Xenopus tropicalis: one gene and its partners. The protein of the gene in region 3 interacts with the protein of the main gene of each other region in a pairwise test. Links are inferred from orthologs where the notes say so. Each region holds a gene or a part of one and is shown on either strand. Other genes may lie near its edges.

What was found.
Region 1: the proteins of cdc42ep2 (region 3) and arhgap26 interact in binary tests that used the Homo sapiens proteins (3 or more experiments, as listed by UniProt). The two-hybrid records come from large-scale screens. The link is inferred for Xenopus tropicalis from reciprocal best matches to the Homo sapiens genes CDC42EP2 and ARHGAP26.
Region 2: the proteins of cdc42ep2 (region 3) and cass4 interact in binary tests that used the Homo sapiens proteins (3 or more experiments, as listed by UniProt). The link is inferred for Xenopus tropicalis from reciprocal best matches to the Homo sapiens genes CDC42EP2 and CASS4.

The regions. Positions count from the first base shown.
Region 1 is NC_030679.2:38,202,068-38,208,159, reverse strand, and holds part of arhgap26 (rho GTPase-activating protein 26), read right to left. Parts: intron 4,859-6,092; coding exon 4,754-4,858; intron 3,763-4,753; coding exon 3,633-3,762; intron 2,620-3,632; coding exon 2,519-2,619; intron 1-2,518. UniProt on the Homo sapiens protein: GTPase-activating protein for RHOA and CDC42. Facilitates mitochondrial quality control by promoting Parkin-mediated recruitment of autophagosomes to damaged mitochondria.
Region 2 is NC_030686.2:6,036,952-6,043,675, reverse strand, and holds the start of cass4 (cas scaffolding protein family member 4), read left to right. Parts: upstream 1-2,821; 5' UTR 2,822-3,035; coding exon 3,036-3,077; intron 3,078-4,100; coding exon 4,101-4,526; intron 4,527-6,724. UniProt on the Homo sapiens protein: Docking protein that plays a role in tyrosine kinase-based signaling related to cell adhesion and cell spreading. Regulates PTK2/FAK1 activity, focal adhesion integrity, and cell spreading.
Region 3 is NC_030680.2:31,701,782-31,708,407, forward strand, and holds the end of cdc42ep2 (cdc42 effector protein 2), read left to right. Parts: intron 1-4,037; 5' UTR 4,038-4,137; coding exon 4,138-4,779; 3' UTR 4,780-5,271; downstream 5,272-6,626. UniProt on the Homo sapiens protein: Probably involved in the organization of the actin cytoskeleton. May act downstream of CDC42 to induce actin filament assembly leading to cell shape changes. Induces pseudopodia formation in fibroblasts in a CDC42-dependent manner.

The DNA of each region.
Region 1 (6,092 bases), on a different chromosome or scaffold from region 3:
AGCTCTATGTATGCTATGTACAGTGCAGCTCTTTGTACAGTGCCCCCCCATAATGCTTAGGACAAAGACACATTTTTCTTTGATTTTCCACTCTGCCTCCTCAGTGTAAAATTTTAAATCAAACAATTCAGACACGATCAAAGTGCACATTCAAGATTTTAATTTAAAGTTATTTGCATACATTTCAGTTTCACATGTAGAAATTACAATACTTGTTATACATAGCCCCCCCTCATTTTAGGGCACCAAAATGTGTGGGACAAAGTAATGGTAGGTATAGTAAAGCAGTGATATTTAGTACTTGCAAATCCCTTACATGCAATGACTGCTGCGATTCATAGACATCACCAGGGGCTGAGCCTCTACTGTAGCCACCTTTAACTCCTGCTTGTGCTGGTCCATTTCCTCTTCACCATATGAAAGGCATGGTCAATTGGATTGATCAGGTGACTGGCTTGACCATTCAAGTATTTTCCAGTTTTCATTTTTGAGAAACTCCCATGTTGCCTAAGCAGTATGTTTGGGATCATTATATCGTAAAGGTCCCCATACACGGCTAGTAGCAGCTATCGGGAGAAGATCATCGCCAAGCGAGCGGATCTGCCAGTGTATGGGGACCTTAAGATGAAGCACCGTCCAATAAATTTGGAGGCATTTACTGGAACTCTTGAGCAGATAACATGTTTCTATACAGCTCAGAATTCATTATGCAACGGCCATCAGCAGTTACATCATCAATGAAGATAAGTTTGCCGGCACCTGTTGCAGCCATACATGCTCAATCCTTAACCCCACCACCATCATGTAAAACAGATAAGATGGTATGCTTTGGATCTTGGGCAGTTCCTTTTTCATCTCCACACGTTCCTCTTGCCATTACTCTGATACAGGTTAATCTTGCTCTCCGCTGTCCATAACACCTTTTTCCAGGACTCTGCAGGCTCTTTCAAGTACCTTTTTGCGAACTGTAATCTGGGCAATTTTGTGGCTAGTTAGTGCTTTGCATCTTGCAGTTTAGCCTCTGTATTTCTGTTCATGACATCTTCGGCAGATAGTAGTCTCTGCCAAAGAGACACCTGCAGAGTGTTTCTAAACTGTTGGACAGGCGTTTGAGGATTTCTCTTTACCATAGTGAGGATTCTCAAATTATCAGAAGATTACAGAGCTCACCCATTCATTCTTTCTTCTTAACGATATTCCAGACAGTTGATTTTGGTAATCCTGATCTCTAATGGATTTATTCTTGTTTTTCAGCCTCATAATAGCTTCCTTGACTTTCCTGGCACAGCTTTTCACCTTATGTTGTTCAATGGAAACTATAGACTCCAAATGGTAGAAACAAGCCTAGGTGTCCTATCCCTGCACTAATGAAGCAATGCAACCCACCTGAGTGAAGCCAATTGTCCCAAATATTATGGTGCCCTGAAAAGAGGGGGAGTATGTATAAAAAGTGTTGGAATTTCTGCATGGTGAAACTGAAATGTATGCAAATAACTTTCAATTAAATTCTGGAATGTGCACTAACCACATCTAAATTGTTTGACTGAAAAATTTACACTGAGGAGGGGTAAATGAACGAAAAATGTATCTTTTGTCTCCAAATATGGAGGCACTGTAACTCTATTGATCAAATCATCATCTCATGTCTACTTCCTCCAATCTGTCAGTTTGTTGTGCAATACAATACTAGTTGCCCCACTATGCATGCACAGGACTTACAGTGCCAGAAGGAGGGCTGGCTTAAAAAAACGGCATGCCGGAGGTAAAGGAAAATATTTTGTGGCTTCATAAGTCTGCTGGACCACAGAGACCTTATCCGCACACCCTAACACTCCAAAAAATTCTTTTGTGCACACTGCTAGAGGGATCGGCACCCTCCAAATACACTGTAGCAACAAAAAAAGCAAATGGCACTCAGGACTACAAACAAGGGTAAAACCCTTTTAAAAGTTTTATTGCGGAGGTGCAACGTTTCGGGGCAATGTGACCCCTTTATCAAGCATGCTTTGTTGATAAAGGGGTCACATTGCCCCGAAACGTTGCACCTCCGCAATAAAACTTTTAAAAGGGTTTTACCCTTGTTTGTAGTCCTGAGTGCCATTTGCTTTTTTTGTTGCTTCATAAGTCTGCTGTACATGGGTGTTCAGGTGACACTGGATTCATAAGGCAAAAAAAGAAATAATAAGAAATTAACTATCCTTAATATAAAATTTGGATATTTAACTGGCAACTACATGCCCAACATAACCATATTGGCATTTTAGTGAGTCTGTAAATGTAATTACAATTGTCCCCTCTTTACAGATGCATTGACAAAGAATGAGAGAGAGAGAGAGAGAGAGAGACAGACAATAGAGAAAGTCCAATAGAGAGAAAACCTCTCTAAGAGAAACTGCAACACACTGTGCTTCCGGGCCATACTTGAAATAAATTGTTAAACTGCACCACAAAGAAATTTAAAAAGAAAGGCTAAGGTTTTTGAATTTTCTGAAGACACTATTAGTCACCTAAAACTTACCACTTTTCCTCCAGACTTCTGGTCAAATGGTACCATGGTCATTTGTTTGGTTTCCCGCTGGTAAGTGCAGTAATGTTTGACCCAAGACGTCCCAAAATGCCCTGTAATGAAAAGATCATACAATCATAAAATTTAGAGGAAGGCATCTTGCTATATAGGCTTGTTCAATAAATGCACTGGTACTCTATAGTTTACACAGTTGAAAGGCATTCGACTAAGCCTAGAGCCTTTTGAAAATATAATGAATAAAGGAACTGAAATCCACACACCAGCATATAACTGCGGCAAAGCTGGTAATCATACTTAGGACTGAAAAATTCTACAGTACAGGGAGTGCTGGGTCTTGTAAATACCCAAGTATGAAGTTTAGCATTTAGAATCATCCATGAAACAAGTATGTTCCTCATAATTACCGGCATTTTATTGGCATAGGCTTTTATGAGGGCCGGACAATAGGTGTGCAATTAAAGTCAGTTAGCAGCTTATGTGAAGCCATCCCTTTTGTTCTTCTCTGGCCCTAAACTAAAAACATCCATACATTCAACTCAGCACACTTGCAGACTAAAAAGCATTGGAACTCAGGGTGTAGAGTGGTCCTACGAAAGAGAATGTCAGTATTCAAGTAAATAGATGCCAATAAGTGACCTCTTGCTAAGTAAAGCTGCAAAGTTTTTCCCAGAACACCAATAAAGTGCTCTCTGTCCGCAGATACTCTGGCCAGTTCTGTCACAGAATGAAATCCTTGGATTTCCAAAGGTAGGTTACAGTTACATTGTATGACATGATGCATCAGCACTAACTTTTTCCTGTAGTAATGAATAGACGCTGCTGCAGTTGCTATGGGACCTGATGAGCTACTAAGTAAGGTGAGGTTGTCAATCAAAGCCTTACAAGACACAAAGAGCTTACTGGGACTCTCAAGTGGCCCAAAAGGGCAACCAAGTTCTTGGAGGAGTGAGTATCCTAGATGTCAAGAACTAGAAAGTCTTGCTAGTGAAGAGGAACTGGCATATTATATAATGAATAATAATAATAATAAGCATGGAAATGCTCTAGAAACACATTTAAATAAAGACAAAAACTGGTGTTTTTAGTTTTCCCCCCAAGTACCCACTTTTCTCCTGAACATAGAGGTATCCTTCCATAGTGTATGGGCTGAGTGCTAAGTGCTCATGGGGGTTCTCCTTCATCTTCTTCATCAATGACTCCACCTCAGAGCGTGTGCCTTCAAAACGGTCCCGTGTCTGACAAATCAGAAGCAGCCATGGTTAGATATGCAGGACATCTTTTCATTCAGTAGTTTTAAATTTGCATTATAGCGAATCATTGGGGATCAAAAACTATCATTTAGAGAGCGGTATCAAGTGTTGTACATGTTTCATGATGTGTAGTGTTTTTGACAAAAAGTAGTAAGCAAGGCACTCTTGTGGGAATATTAAAGAGGAAATTTCTTCTTACAGGGGTAGTTCACCAGAGAATAAACTTTTAGTGTGATATAGACAATGGGATTCTAAGACAATTTGGAGTTCGTATTATGTATTCTATACTGTTGTTGGGCCACAATCACCCTAGCAACTCGGAAGTGGTTTGAATGGCAGACAGGAAGGTGAGTAGGAAAGAGCCTGAACACAAAGATAAGTAATGAAAAACTATAATGATGCAGATCTAACCTAATAAAAATCTGATCACTGGATTTCAGGCATAAACGTTCTGAGCAAAAAATAGAAGGAAGAAGAATAGAAAGGCAAGCAAAATAAAATCTATTGAGATTAAAAATAGAAGACCAAACTGCAATTATTGCTTTCTGCAGCATAATGTAAATTCTAAGATGGAATACTATTTTAACATTACATTCTACTATGTTGTGGAGGGTAATCATTAATTTTTACATTTTGATTCTCTCAATGTCAGTTTAGTTATTAGAAGCAGAAGTATACAACTATGAATTATATTAAAAAACATACTACTGCATATTAAAAGAATATCAGAACTTGCATCAGAGCTCTGGGACTTTTAAATGGTTTAACAAGTTGTATATTATCCTTATAGTGCATGGCAGAGGTACACTATTCCCTATACACAATCACAACGCCACACATACCCACTACTCCCAATTCTCTTCCAGTTACTAAATTCTTGCCTAAATTTGATGAATACCTATGAAACCATAAATCTTTAGGCTGGGAGGAAAGTTGTTTACTAAGGATAATAAAGGGGAGGACGAACGTTACTTACATTCTGAATGCTGATGGAAAGCTGCGTTTTAAAGTCACTGAAGTCTTTGGCCAGTTCATAGCCATGGTGATAGAAGGTGAAGAGGCCTTGCAAGAAGGCAAGCAGCTGAAACACCAAAGGATAATTAGAAGACAAGCACAAAGATAAAATCCACTGTCTGAAACTGATTTCCCCTTATAAATTACTGTAGGTAAGACCAGTTTATGAAGGGGGGTTGCTTCAGGTTTGCATTTGTACATTAACAATATACAAATTAATCTCTGGCCAATGGAAGTTTTAATAATTAACTGAAAATAATAGAGAGACCTAGATCACAGAGCTGAACAAAACTACAAGCCTTCTGGCACCCAAAAATTCTTATTTGCCAACTCTTAGAGCCAAGAGTTCACATTTAGGGCAAGGCACACAGGCCGATGGTTATAAAACCAGAGCTACAGTAGGCCATAAAAGTAGAGATGCGGCCAAGTTCCTTTACCAAGAGGCAGGAATTTGCACTTGAAAAATGGTGTCTATACATGGTAAAACAAAATGTGAAAACTTGCTGGCAGCATCTCTATGTGGAGACTGATGGCAATATTTATAGTTGCATTTATCAACAAAATAGCTTGAAAATTTTAATTGCAACAAATACAGTTTTTCCCAACTGACCAAACTAACAGAATACTCGGCATATTTTGAAGTTAGAAGAAATAAAAGTAAATTATGCAAAGTTGATAGAATCTAAAGGAACAGCCGGCACTGAACCGTGTTAGCTCATCGGTTTGCCTGCAGAGTGACTATTATATGCATTAAGATTTCATTAGATCGCCCTTTCCAAGTTATTTGCACTTAGCAATAGGCTAAGCTATGAATATTTCATGTTTATGGGAAAAACAAGTGACACCAAGGCAAAACAATGCACTGGGAATTATAAGGCTCGAGACCTTCTGCTTCATTGCAACACGATTCCTTATGATTCTATTTTAATGCAGGGAGCAGTGCTGCCTCGTGCTTGGGCCACTCATTTTGCCCTGGGGTTTGCAAGGACCACAACATACTCTGTTATGCAGTCTAAATCCATTTGGTGCACTTTGAGATATTCTCACTTCCCTATTACATTTAGGTTCGTAAACCACATCAGGTGGCAATGCTTTTTGCTTTGCTTTTTGCCAATGGTTATTTTCCCTTTGTATTTGTCAAGTGGAAAAATAAAATAAACTGGCTATATAACTTTGTTCCCTAAGATTTCTTTATCTCCTGCCAGTACGCTTGACTGCAGATTTATTGTAATATACCATTGTTGACCAATAATCCTCCTTAGCTGTTGTCAATGACTGAATCATTTTGACAGAAATCAGTA
Region 2 (6,724 bases), on a different chromosome or scaffold from region 3:
AGGGTTTCCCATGATACATCAGCATGCTGGGCATTTTCCTCACTGTATCTCCTGCCCAACAACCCCTACACTCTCACATATACTGATGTCTCTTCCATTGGCCATGGGAACCAAAATATTGTGTAACTAGGGCATCCTCACTGTATCTCCTGCCCAACCTGCCCCAACAACCCCTACACTCTCACATTTACTGATCTCTCTTCCATTGGCCATGGAAGCCAAAATATTGTGTAACTGGGGCATCCTCACTGTATCTCCTGCCCAACAACCCCTACACTCTCACATTTACTGATGTCTCTTCCATTGGCCATGGGAACCAAAATATTGTGTAACTGGGGCATCCTCACTGTATCTCCTGCCCAAACAACCCCTACACTCTCACATTTACTGATCTCTCTTCCATTGGCCATGGGAACCAAAATACTGTGTAACTGGGGCATCCATCTCCTGCCAAATCAATACCCTATCACCTATGTCTCTTCCAATTACCACCATCTTTTCTTACGTTTATTGCCCCCAGTCAATAGCAACTTAAAACAGTATATTCTACCAACTACATATGAGTAACATTTTATTATCTTGTTACCAAGAAAAAGTTATTGGCATAAATATTTTGGATGATACTCGTTGCCCCCTTCACAAGCAACACCAGTGATTTGATTTTTGATGTAAATTTCCCTTTAATGTCTTTGAAAAAAAGCTATTAATACATTGTATAGATATTGGGCTCCTTAGGGACTGTGGGCCGAACGTCGGACAAGTAAACAAAGTGAAACAAGAGGACGGGCACGGGGTTAGAGCGCAGTGTTGCTGTCTGTGTGCGCTGAGCGACAGCTGTGGGTCCGGGGACTCGCTGAAGGATTCATGCCTATATAAAAGGCCTATTGTTTAAACCCCACTCCTCGGCCCCGGCTGCATTACCAGGAACAGGCCATGCTATCAGCTGAGATGATATTCTGGTTTTCCCTTTAAACCAGCTGCTCTTCATAGCAAATGCTATAGATAAAAATATGGAGGTTTTGGGTTACCCATTGGGGTATTTAAAAACAACTTGCAATTTCTTTGGCGGGGGGGGTTAGTTTGGGCTGAGCCACTCTGCACACGTGCATTAACCCCTTATCTGCCTGTTGGGCTTAAAAATCTAAACATAAATATTTACCCAGCTCCCGTGGATCTCTGCTCAAATTCATTGAGGATGCGTTTGGGAACAAAATGTATATATAGCACACATTCCATTGCTTAAATTACAATTTCATATACAGGTATAGGACCCATTATCCAGAATGCTTGGGACCAAGGGTATTCCGGATAAGGAGTCTTTCCGTAATTTGGATCGCCATACCTTAAGTCTGCTAAAAAATCAATAAAACGTTAATTAAACCCAACAGGATTGTTCTGCCCCCAATAAGGGGTAATTATATCTTAGTTGGGATAAAGTACAGGTACTGTTTTATTATTACAGAGAAAAGGGAATCATTTAACCATTAAATAAACCCAATAGGGCTGTTCTGCCCCCAATAAGGGGTAATTATATCTTAGTTGGGATCAAGTACAGGTACTGTTTTATTATTACAGAGACAAGGGAATCATTTAACCATTAAATAAACCCAATAGGGCTGTTCTGCCCCAATAAGGGGTAATTATATCTTAGTTGGGATCAAGTACAGGTACTGTTTTATTATTACAGAGACAAGGGAATCATTTAACCATTAAATAAACCCAATAGGGCTGTTCTGCCCCAATAAGGGGTAATTATATCTTAGTTGGGATCAAGTACAGGTACTGTTTTATTATTACAGAGAAAAGGGAATCATTTAACCATGAAATAAACCCAATAGGGCTGTTCTGCCCCAATAAGGGGTAATTATATCTTAGTTGGGATCAAGTACAGGTACTGTTTTATTATTACAGAGAAAAGGGAATCATTTAACCATTAAGTAAACCCAATAGGGCTGTTCTGCCCCCAATAAGGGGTAATTATATCTTAGTTGGGATCAAGTACAGGTACTGTTTTATTATTACAGAGAAAAGGGAATAATTTAAACATTAAATAAACCCAATAGGGCTGTTCTGCCCCCAATAAGGGGTAATTATATCTTAGTTGGGATCAAGTACAGGTACTGTTTTATTATTACAGAGAAAAGGGAATCATTTAACCATTAAATAAACCCAATAGGACTGTTCTGCTTTTTGTTCATCGTCTTTCCAGTTTGGAACAGCTATCTGGTTGCTAGGGTCCAAATTACCCTAGCAACCAGGCAGTGGTTTGAATGATAAACTGGAATGTACATAGGAGAGGGCCTGGATAGAAAGATAAGTAATAAAAAGTAACAATAACAGTAAATGTAGCATCTAAGAGCAATAGTTTTTTTGGTTCAGTGACCCCCCCATTTGAAACCTGGAAGAGCAAATAATTCAGAAACTATAAAAAATAAATAATGAAGACCAATTGAAAAGTTGCCAAGAATTAGCCATTCTATAACATACTAAAAGTTAACTTTTGATGGCCCGCCCACCTAATATCCGGTTAAAATCCACGCACAGACCCTCTCCATTCATTTGGTGGATCTTATAGAGTTTGCCCACCTTTAAGGTCCCCATACACGCTGAGATCCGCTCGCTTGACGAGATCACGAAGCGAGCGGATCTGCACCCGATATCCCCACCTACGGGTGGCAAGGGGCAGTCGGTTTGGGGGCCGTATCAACGAGCCAATGCGGTCCCCGATCCGACTGAATTTTCTAACCTGGCCGATCGAGATCTGGCAGATAAGGGACCCATATTGGCAGCTACAATCTGCCCGTGTATGGGGACCTTTAGTCTGAAAGCATATGGGGCAATTTCCCATTGACTGTAATGTAATTGGCCAAGAGCCCCAGTACCAGCTCCAAATGTGCAGGGGCAGTTCAGTTGGAAATTCAGGGTAGAGCTTGATTTCTGTAGACCTATGTTTTTTTTACGTGAGCCCTACATTGTAGTAATAGCCCTTTAAAATAAAGTGTCAGAAACCGCAGCTTTCTCTGGATCCCCGAGCCATGTTTATTGGCAAGAAGAGCTGCATTTCCGATGTTGCAAAGGTCAGTGGCTCATGAGAGAAATTCCTCAGCGAAATGTGGATTAAAAAAATTCTCAGGCATTCTGTGTGTGTAGTGCAACTAAGGCAAATATTCCCAAGCCATAAGGAAAGTGTGAAATACATATATCTGTGCATATTACTTTTGGCCCATTCACCCCCAGTCGTCCTGATCTGAGCATTTTCCCACAAGCCAAGGGTCACATAACGTAGGGGCGGTGAGTGGGAAGGAGAGCTATTGGCTGCCTACAATGTCTATGAACCGACATGATCTTCTGAATGTATCCTGAATAGATGTTAATCAGAAGGTGTCTTGGTCCCCGACGCCAGTAGTGAGCCAACTTGGGCAAGAGATGCCTATGTTCATGTACAGTGACCAAAACATTAATGTGCAGTGTTTGTGGGTATTTTGAATTTGAATTTGTGGGCTGTCCAAATGGAGGCCCAAATGCTGCACACAGCCCTCATGTAGAATTTATAGCACCCAATCTGCCCATGAGTTCCACCAACTTATTTATAGGCCATCGCCATTTCTTACTACATCCCTCCAAAACCACCCAAATGCCTCAAGGTCCCCATACACGGGCCGATCCGCTCGCTTGGCACCAACCGAGCGGATCTTCTCCCGATATCCCCACCTACGGGTGGGCCCTGGGGCCAAACGATTGAATTATAACGACGGGAATAGGAAAAGTCGGTCTGGGGACCGCATCAACGAGCCGATGCAGTCCCCGATCCGACTAGATTTTCTAACCTGCCCAATCGACATCTGGCCGATTTCAGGCCAGATATCAGTCGGACAGGCCCGTTGGTAGTGCCCATACACGGGCCTTTTAGCTGCTCTAAGGGATAGATAACGGCAGCTAGAATCGGCCCATGTGTGGAGACCTTTAGCCCTAGTGAATCCTCTGTAGTCTAGACCAAAATGCTAACTGCTGATTGGTTGCTATGGGTTGCCTTACCAGTGCGACAACATAAAACCCCTGCTTCACCATTCATTGATTCCACTATGTCTTCTTTTCTGCAGAACATGTTGGCCAGAGCCCAATTTGACAACAAAGCCGACAGCCCAGATGAACTGACCTTCCGTAAAGGGGACATCCTAACCGTGTTAGATCAAAACATCCCTGGTAGCGAAGGTTGGTGGCGATGTTACCTTCATGGACGCCAGGGTCTCGTCCCCGCCAACCGCCTTCAGCTCTTTACTATAATAAAGAATGATACTCCATCTGTCCAGAGCTACTACGGCACCCTTGGAAGGCAACAGTCCCAACAGAACATCTACCAAGTGCCCTCAGCACCCAAAATCACAAGTCTGCCAACATATGAGCAGATGGATAGTGTTTATATAGTGCCACTGACTCCAAAATCGCTTTCCGGTGATCTATACCAGACTCCTGTTTCTTCACCAGCGCAAATATACTATGAGAAAGCCAACGGCTCCTCCAGCCAGGTGAGTAATAGTTCATTCTATTTTTTTTTATTTATAAACCTCCTAACGTTTCTACCAAAGCTCTAGGTGGGGGTTAAGTAATGAAGTAATGAGATTTTAGTCGTAGGAAAATATTAGTGGAGACCCATTAGTTCAGTAGTATTGAACTTATTCATGGGCAGTAGGACATCGCTGACTTCTCTCACTTTGCCCAAATGTAGGAAATTCCAGGTCAGTAACGTCAAAGTGAGATCAAATGGTTGGAGGTGTATCAGAATATATAAAATCTTCTCTAAATTAAAGATTAAACTAATTTTAAATTTTGACCATTTTTGCATCCTTTATGCTTTATACTGTTTGCCTGATATATAAGGGGTTGTTTAAGAACAGACCTTAGACTGTAAGCTCACTGGGGCAGGGATTGATGGGAATGTGATAGGGACCTTAGATTGTAAGCTTACTGGGGCAGGGACTGATGGGAATGTGATAGGGACCTTAGATTGTAAGCTCACTGGGGCAGGGACTGATGGGAATGTGATAGGGACCTTAGATTGTAAGCTCACTGGGGCAGGGACTGATGGGAATGGGATAGGGACCTTAGATTGTAAGCTCACTGGGGCAGGGACTGATGGGAATGTGATAGGGACCTTAGATTGTAAGCTCACTGGGGCAGGGACTGATGGGAATGTGATAGGGACCTTAGATTGTAAGCTCACTGGGGCAGGGACTGATGGGAATGTGATAGGGACCTTAGATTGTAAGCTCACTGGGGCAGGGACTGATGGGAATGTGATAGGGACCTTAGATTGTAAGCTCACTGGGGCAGGGGCTGATGGGAATGTGATAGGGACCTTAGATTGTAAGCTCACTGGGGCAGGGACTGATGGGAATGTGATAGGGACCTTAGATTGTAAGCTCACTGGGGCAGGGACTGATGGGAATGGGATAGGGACCTTAGACTGTAAGCTCCACTGGGGCAGGGACTGATGGGAATGTGATAGGGACCTTAGATTGTAAGCTCACTGGGGCAGTGTCTGATGGGAATGATGTATAATCTCAGTACAATGCTGGGGAATATGTTGGCACTATATAAATAAAGGATAATAATAAACATAATAATAAAATAACAGGAAGAACAAAATACGTTAACCTCACTTTAATCTTTAGAGCCCTAATTGGTTATTCTTGATATAATGCAGGAAGAGAAAACCAAACCACAGTAGCTTTAAAATATGTAATTTTACGAGCACAGGAAATCTTAATAACAGTAAAAAAAAGATTGTGTATGAATTCTGTGAGAAGACCAATGTGATAGAAATCTTGTATTATTGTTTGTATGAAGTAAAAAGCTGTTAGTGCAGAACACTGCTATGTATTAGAACCCCCCCCCCTCAATAAAATGGGTTAAAAGCAGGCAAAAGAATGTAGTGGTTCCGTGTATTTACAGATTCTGATAACAGGAATAAACAAAAAAGGAGTAGTTTCCCCCCCTACTGATCCCTCACTTTAAATCACTCTCCGGGACCCGCTGCTAAACAACTGTTTTGGCTCTTAACATGGTCAGCTGTTCCCGAGCAGCTGCTTACTGTCCGTACAGGAGCCAAAAAAAGGGACCAGACCCTCATCACCACTAATCAGGGTCCCCACACTCGCTGCTTCACCGGAGGAATCCACTCTCCTTGTCTGTCAGCAAAATATGGTATTAATAGCTGGGAGCCCCTCTGTGTGCTGGGCCTTTTATTAGAAAAGCGTCAGGTGAACACTGAAAGTAGAATAAATCCAGTAAAGGAACCCCACTTGGATTCAGCCAAATCAGAATCCTGCTGAAAAAGGCTGAATCACCCCAAATCTCCCCCTAACTGGCCTTCAGGCTGGGCCCCCTTAGCCCATAACAAGGTTACAGATATATAGAAACATTGGGGTAACAGTCACCCCGCTATAGTTCCAGGGGTACCCAGGGCACAAATAAGCACTCACCCCAAATCCCCCCCTAACTGGCCTTCAGGCTGGGCCCCCTTAGCCCATAACAAGGTTACAGATATATAGAAACATTGGGGTAACAGTCACCCCGCTATAGTTCCAGGGGTACCCAGGGCACAAATAAGCACTCACCCCAAATCCCCCCCTAACTGGCCTTCAGGCTGGGCCCCCTTAGCCCATAACAAGGTTACAGATATATAGAAACATTGGGGTAACAGTCACCCCACTATAGTTCCAGG
Region 3 (6,626 bases):
TAGCTTACTTCTATGTGCATAGTGAACAAGTGCCCTAGCTTACTTCTATGTGCATAGTGAACAAGTGCCCTAGCTTACTTCTATGTGCATAGTGAACAAGTGCCCTAGCTTACTTCTATGTGCATAGTGAACAAGTGCCCTAGCTTACTTCTATGTGCATAGTGAACAAGTGCCCTAGCTTACTTCTATGTGCATAGTGAACAAGTGCCCTAGCTTACTTGTTATGCATGTGTGTGTGTGTGAAATAGAAATTGGTTGGTGTGTCAGTCTATGTGTTTAAGCAGGCGTTATTCCACCCCCTTGATGCCTCTGGTATTATTATTTATATAGCACCATTAGTTTACGCAGAGCTTTACAGAATAAGCCTACGAGGTTTCTCAGCTTGCCTCATGGCAGGAGCACCCCTGATATTATGAAGTTTGTAACCTTAGTACAGGGGCCCTCAAACTTTTTAAACGGGGCCAGTTCGGTCCCAGCGCATCATGTAACTGCGTCACACTGGCCGCAAGGACCACTCTAAGGGACACAGGACGCAGCTGGGGCCGGGTTAATTACCTTGGGGGGGCCGTAGTTTGAGGACCCCTGTCTTAATATATTGTTCAATGCAGAGACTGTCATTTTTGTATTAAAGGATAAGTCAACCAAAAATATGTTTTGCCTAATAAAAGAAACAATAATTCTAAGCAACTTTGCAGTATACATTCACTTACAAATTTGCTATGGTTTTTAACTTATTTCTTTATATTATTGCTATTAGAAGCAGTGTTTGCCTGTCCTTTTCTGTTGTTTGCCCATGTGGCTCTGACATTTGAAAGAATGTAACACAAGGCTGCAGGCTGAGAGACCTGACTTGCTGGAGGAGCGACATTGTTTAAAAAGTAAAAACCAGGGGTTCAGCAAATGCTGCTTTCAGTACAATTATATTTACACATAACTTTTAAAGCACTAAAACTTTTCAGTTAATTCACATTGGAAAGTTGCTTGAAATTATGTTTTCTTTTATTATGCAGATATGTTCTTTAAATATGGCATTCTGTTAAGTCTTCAAGTCTCTCTAAAGCTGCCAATACACAGCCAAGAAAAGCTGCATACTCAGCCTCTCTAGACCAAGTCAGTGGGTTATCAGACTGCTGAGCAAATATATGTCAGGCAGGTTTAAAAATCCCATGGGGCAAGGACGGCATTGGAGCATTGATTGTCTTTTCCCATCCAGTCCCCACAGGCCCGCAGAATGATTAGATTGTGGGCCCCCAGGCCTGCAATCTAATCTGCTTAATTTGGCTTGAGCATGGGTGGATTTTTAAATATATGACCATCTTAGCGCTAGCAGATATTTATCAATTAAATGCTTGCTGTCGGTGCCACTAGTGTAACTAGTGTATGTAATGTTTTAGGCTACCGCCACATGTGGAGTATTCTCGGGTTGTAGATAACCGCAGGTTCGAGAATCCATTCCTATAATCATCAACGGGAACAGGGGTGGATTCAGCCACGTGTGGCAGTAGCCTTAGTCTTCCATTCAGTTCATCCAGACATTAATAGAAGTGTCAGAAGTGAGATGCTATTGCCTAGGAGCACACCTATACTTGTCAGGCAGCTGATAATACACTATGTAGTTATTTGTTCAACAGTGCAGTTTGCCCTTTCTCTAAATAAGCGTGTTGTAACAATAAACACCAGCTTTCCTGTTACAGCATGTACTTTTACATGACTGCCCTTTGTAAATTTTCTTTTTGTAAAAGTGGCCCTTTGCTGCTCTACTATGCAGGACTGGACATATCCTGGGTACTAGACAGTCACAGGAATGTTGCTCCTGGCTCCTTTCCAGGAGAATTTATAAGGGTCTCTACAAAGCACCTGCCCTCTGGTTTCTAAAGCAGCCACACTTGCCCTTAAATTTCTTTGTCATACCACTAATATTTGGGAAACAATTGGCTAGATTTCAATCAACCATGTTTAAAAATCCAGTTGGGACGAGGAGAGCATTGGTTTGTTAATGTGGTCCATGCCCCAGTGGCTTGCATCCAATTAATTTGATCCAATCATTTGGCCTGTGCTGGGCATATCAGGGAAATATCCGCTCATTTAACGACCTTGCCAAATAAGCAGATCTTTCAGTGTATGATTGTCTTTAGTTGGGTACCTGCTCAATGTCAAGCCTGCATGTCCCTAATGATAAATAGAAGCCAGAAGCCACAATGTAAAAGTCGTCACCAACATACTGTTACAGCAGGGATGTCCAACTGGAGGTATTATGGACCTGATAAAGCCCTCCAAAAGCTTTTATGGCTCTATGTCTGAGATCTCCATAGACCTCTGTATATTAATCTGCCCCCCAGAATTAAGTAGTGAGTAAGTAGACTATCTTGGCTAGATCAGTTACATTGTCCCCTGCTTCCTAACCAGAGGAAGGCATCATTAACTTAGCACTTAGCTTGTAACTGTCAACATACTGGATTTTATGTGTTTCACATATGGCCCCTTGAGTATTTAAAAGGGCTGCATACATAATTTGCTAATAGCACAATATAATGCCTTTCAATTACAGAGTTGCACCTTTATACATTGCACACATTTTTGAAAATGTTGCACAATGTGTAGAGTGCAGCATTGTGAGTTATTTTAGTAATTACCTAAGGAGACATCATTGTATTGAATTTAATTGAATGCAGCAATGTGAATTATTTAAGCTGTATGCCTGTATACAAACATTAATTGGCCCTCCATAAAAATATCTGAAGGGAGAAGATATAGACTTCCTGGTGGGGCTCCCTAGTAGAAGGGCTGCACCTCCGTGAAAAGAGACCTAGGTCCATTCTGGCAGATGCTTTATAAACTTTTAAATCTATGCTTTTTTAATGAACGTATGCTGTCCATACATGGCAAGATCTGCTAGTGTGGCAGGATTCATACAGAACCTTCATTGCAGCTGACATTCCAAGAATTTCAAAGGATCTAATCTGACAGGCCACTGACCCCACCTTTAGAGAAGCTTCTTTAGATACTGAGGAATTTAAGGTCAAATGGTGAAAACCCTACAAGTGCATTTTTTTGCCTGTGGTTATATAAACTGTTTAAAACATGTCTTTTATATTGCCATTATTTTTCCTGTCAGTAAAGCTGACCAACGATGAGATCTTGTCAAGTATGGCCATCTTTACCCATACAAGCTAATAAATGCACAAAGCAGTCTTTCTCCCCAATAAACTACCAGCTTATTCAATTGTGTTAAAATATGAACATATAAATTTAATGTATGAATGGAATCCCGTTAGTGTGTAAAAGGACAATTGAGCCCATACCTGCCTGACATGTGGATTATCCCAAAACAACATGCCTTTTTCACCTCCTCCCACCCAGCACCTGTTCCAGTACTAGCTCTTCCTATGTGCACAAGTATCTTTACTAAGTCAAAAGTTTATGGCCAGGGAGTGTCCTACACCAATAGGATTGTGTAAGGTTGTTGTGTAATAAGTTTGCTACAGGTTTAGTAACATGTAGTTACCAATCAGCAGAAAGCATTTACTGATCACCTGTTTAAAAAGTAAAATCTTATTGGTTGCTATAAGTTACTGCACTTGGGCAAATGTTGTGCCCTTTATTACATATGGGGGATAGAGTGAAAGCCTCCTGGACCACAACATGGGAGAAGTTAATAAATGCCTTCTCCCCAATCTCATTGCCCTATATGTTTTCTTCCTGCTCTTCCCCTGTTTGTGTGACTTCCGTACCTACTTACATAAGTGCATCACCTACATAGTGCGCATAGTGACCCAGCCACATACATATGTCTCACTGCACTGCCGCCTTCATGACGTCACTCTCCATACTTTCCCTGGCTTTGTTTAGTGTATGTTTTCACATTAAGAAAGACAAGATTGGTAGCTGAAACATTAGTTTATCTTTAAATAAAAACATCTTTTTCCTCTCATAAAACATATATAGATACATACACACACACTATTTTTTTTTATATGCAACATAGGCGGCATATATTTCTCTCACTAATTGTCTTCTGTATTTATTTTATTTTTTAGATTTGCTCTATGAGCCACTGCCTTTAATCCAAGCAAGTAAACACCTGCAACGCATAATATTAGTACTACATAAAGGCATCCTGCTTGTAGATTTCCACAGATGCAATGTGATATAAGTTCTAATAGGAATTTCATGAGTCTCGAGAGCAAAGAGATTGGAAAGATGTCAGCTAAGGCCCCGATATACCTAAAGAGAAGTACCCGTAAAGGAAAGCTGAGAGACATTCTGTCACCGGACATGATTAGCCCGCCACTTGGAGATTTCCGGCACACTATTCACATTGGCAGTGGGGAAGGGGATATGTTTGGAGACATTTCCTTCTTACAAGGGAAGTTTCACCTTCTTCCTCAGTCAATGCCTGGATCCTCAACTTCTTCTCCAGATGCAACACCAACCACCTCCCATCCGGATCTTCTCAATCCACCACCCTGCCACCCAGATCTTCTCTCACCTCTGCTGAAGAATGCTATTTCACTACCTGCTATTGGGGGACCACAGGCTCTATCTCTTCCCCAGTCTCCACCACCAAAACCCCCGCGGCTTCACCTAGATGATAAACCCAAGAGCACATTGAGTGAAGAAGGGGGGACTCATTCAACAGATGTGTCTGCAAACAATCGTTTCACTGCAGAAGAGAGGGAAGAACGCATTCTCGCCCATGCTGGATCTATTTTGTCTCTTCATGTTGATTTAGGACCATCGATTATGGATGATGTCTTGCAGATCATGGACAAGAGCTAAAGGCCTGCACTGGTGTAGCGTCGGACTGATCAGTATTAAACAATGGGGCTTAATTTTTTTTAAACAGAGAAATATTTTTAAACACTAAATAATTTTAAGACTGGAATAATAAGCTGCGTAATGTGCTTTATTAAGTTGAAAACCAATTCTATTTAGCAGTCAAATTAGCACATTGCTTTGTACAATGCTCGGAATGTTTTTTTTTTTTATTATGTAAGTGAATTTGTCGTGCTGAAGTGCAATGGTGGTGGCTGTGCTTACACTCCACGGGACACTTATTTTAATTTACAGTGGCCACAGCCTATATATACAGTGGTAATGAATATCTTCATTGGGACATTTTTATTGAAGTAATAACCCCCTCTCTAAATGCTATTATATATTACACCCGTCGCCTTAAGTCGGAATGAACTGAATGTAGCATTTATTTGAATTTTTTTGTGACCAAAATGTGTATATCTTGCCAAATACAGACAGAGGGCTTTGACAGTGTTTGGGGCTTTATTTCAATCTGTTTCAACACAAAATTAGGCCAAATGAAGAAACCCAGGGGCAAAAGATTAAACTGGGGAGTCTAGAAGCTGATAAAAAAGTCAGATTGTTCATTGTAAAAGTAACAGTAATGTTTTTGCTGGCTGTAAGTATATATGAATAGTAATTAGTAATAATAAATTGGCCAAGCTGTGAGATTTTTTACATTGGCTTATGATAAGGCACAACACACTGGTAAAATTTTGTATTTGCAAACAATACTATAAATAGTATAACATTGCCGTGAAGCCATAGGGACCACCAATCAAGATGAAATGGGGCTATATGGACCCCCACATACCCCCCTTTTACATTCACTTTCATGATGTAGACAGTGATATTCTAAGACCATTTACAACTGGTCAATTTGTAATTTTGACAGATCTCGAATGAAAGAGAACAGGACAGGCAGAAAGAGAAGTAAAAAAAATAACAATAAAATAGTAGCCACACAGAGGAATAGCTTTCTGAGGTTCAGTGACTGGAAAAAGAGAGAAGGCAAATAATTTATACTTGTTTGTAAGGTGTAATCGTTGGTGGGGCTAAGTTTTAGGCACCCCCAGTGGTTATAATCTTATACCTGATACCCCAGGCCAGTATACTGTTCACTTACAACTGCACTAGCGGGGGTAGCTAAGCTCAGCTTTCCACTCTACTCTGTGTGTTCTACTCGGACCAGTACAAAGAAGGAAGTAGCCAAAGAAGATGGCAAAGATTTCAGCGAACAGAAGCAATGGCCCATGGAGGAGGGGGGGTGCCTAACATTTTGGCACTGATTAAGGGTATTGGGGGAAAAAAGATATTGATGTGACCTGGTGTGCTGGTCCTTCTCATAGGTATATATATATTTATTCTTATTTTTGGGCACATTTCATGGTGTTTTCAAGCAGTGCAGCAATCCCAGTCTGTGCCTACCCCCTTCCAAAACACTTGTCTCCAACAATTCTGTCAAAGAGAGCTGTTCATTTGAACCCTGGGAAATTGTATAGCCCATTACACGAAAAAAGCAGAGACACAAATCTCTTATTGGAAGTTCCCATCAGATATCTCACACTTTGTAAAAACAAATATTTCTTCAACAAGTATTGTTAGAGGGGGGATGGGGTTAACAGGATATTATTTCCAGATACAAAATAATTTAGCATGTATAAAAGTCATTACATAATCTTTAAGTTAAAGGGCAAGTAGCCAGTATCTTACATTTTAACTCCAGTTTCCCCATGTGTCAGACAGCGTTTGCCTCCATGCTTTAGTTCTGACCAGTCATTTGATAACCCGGATACATTACTAGCTCTCAGACCTGTGCTTGGAGATGC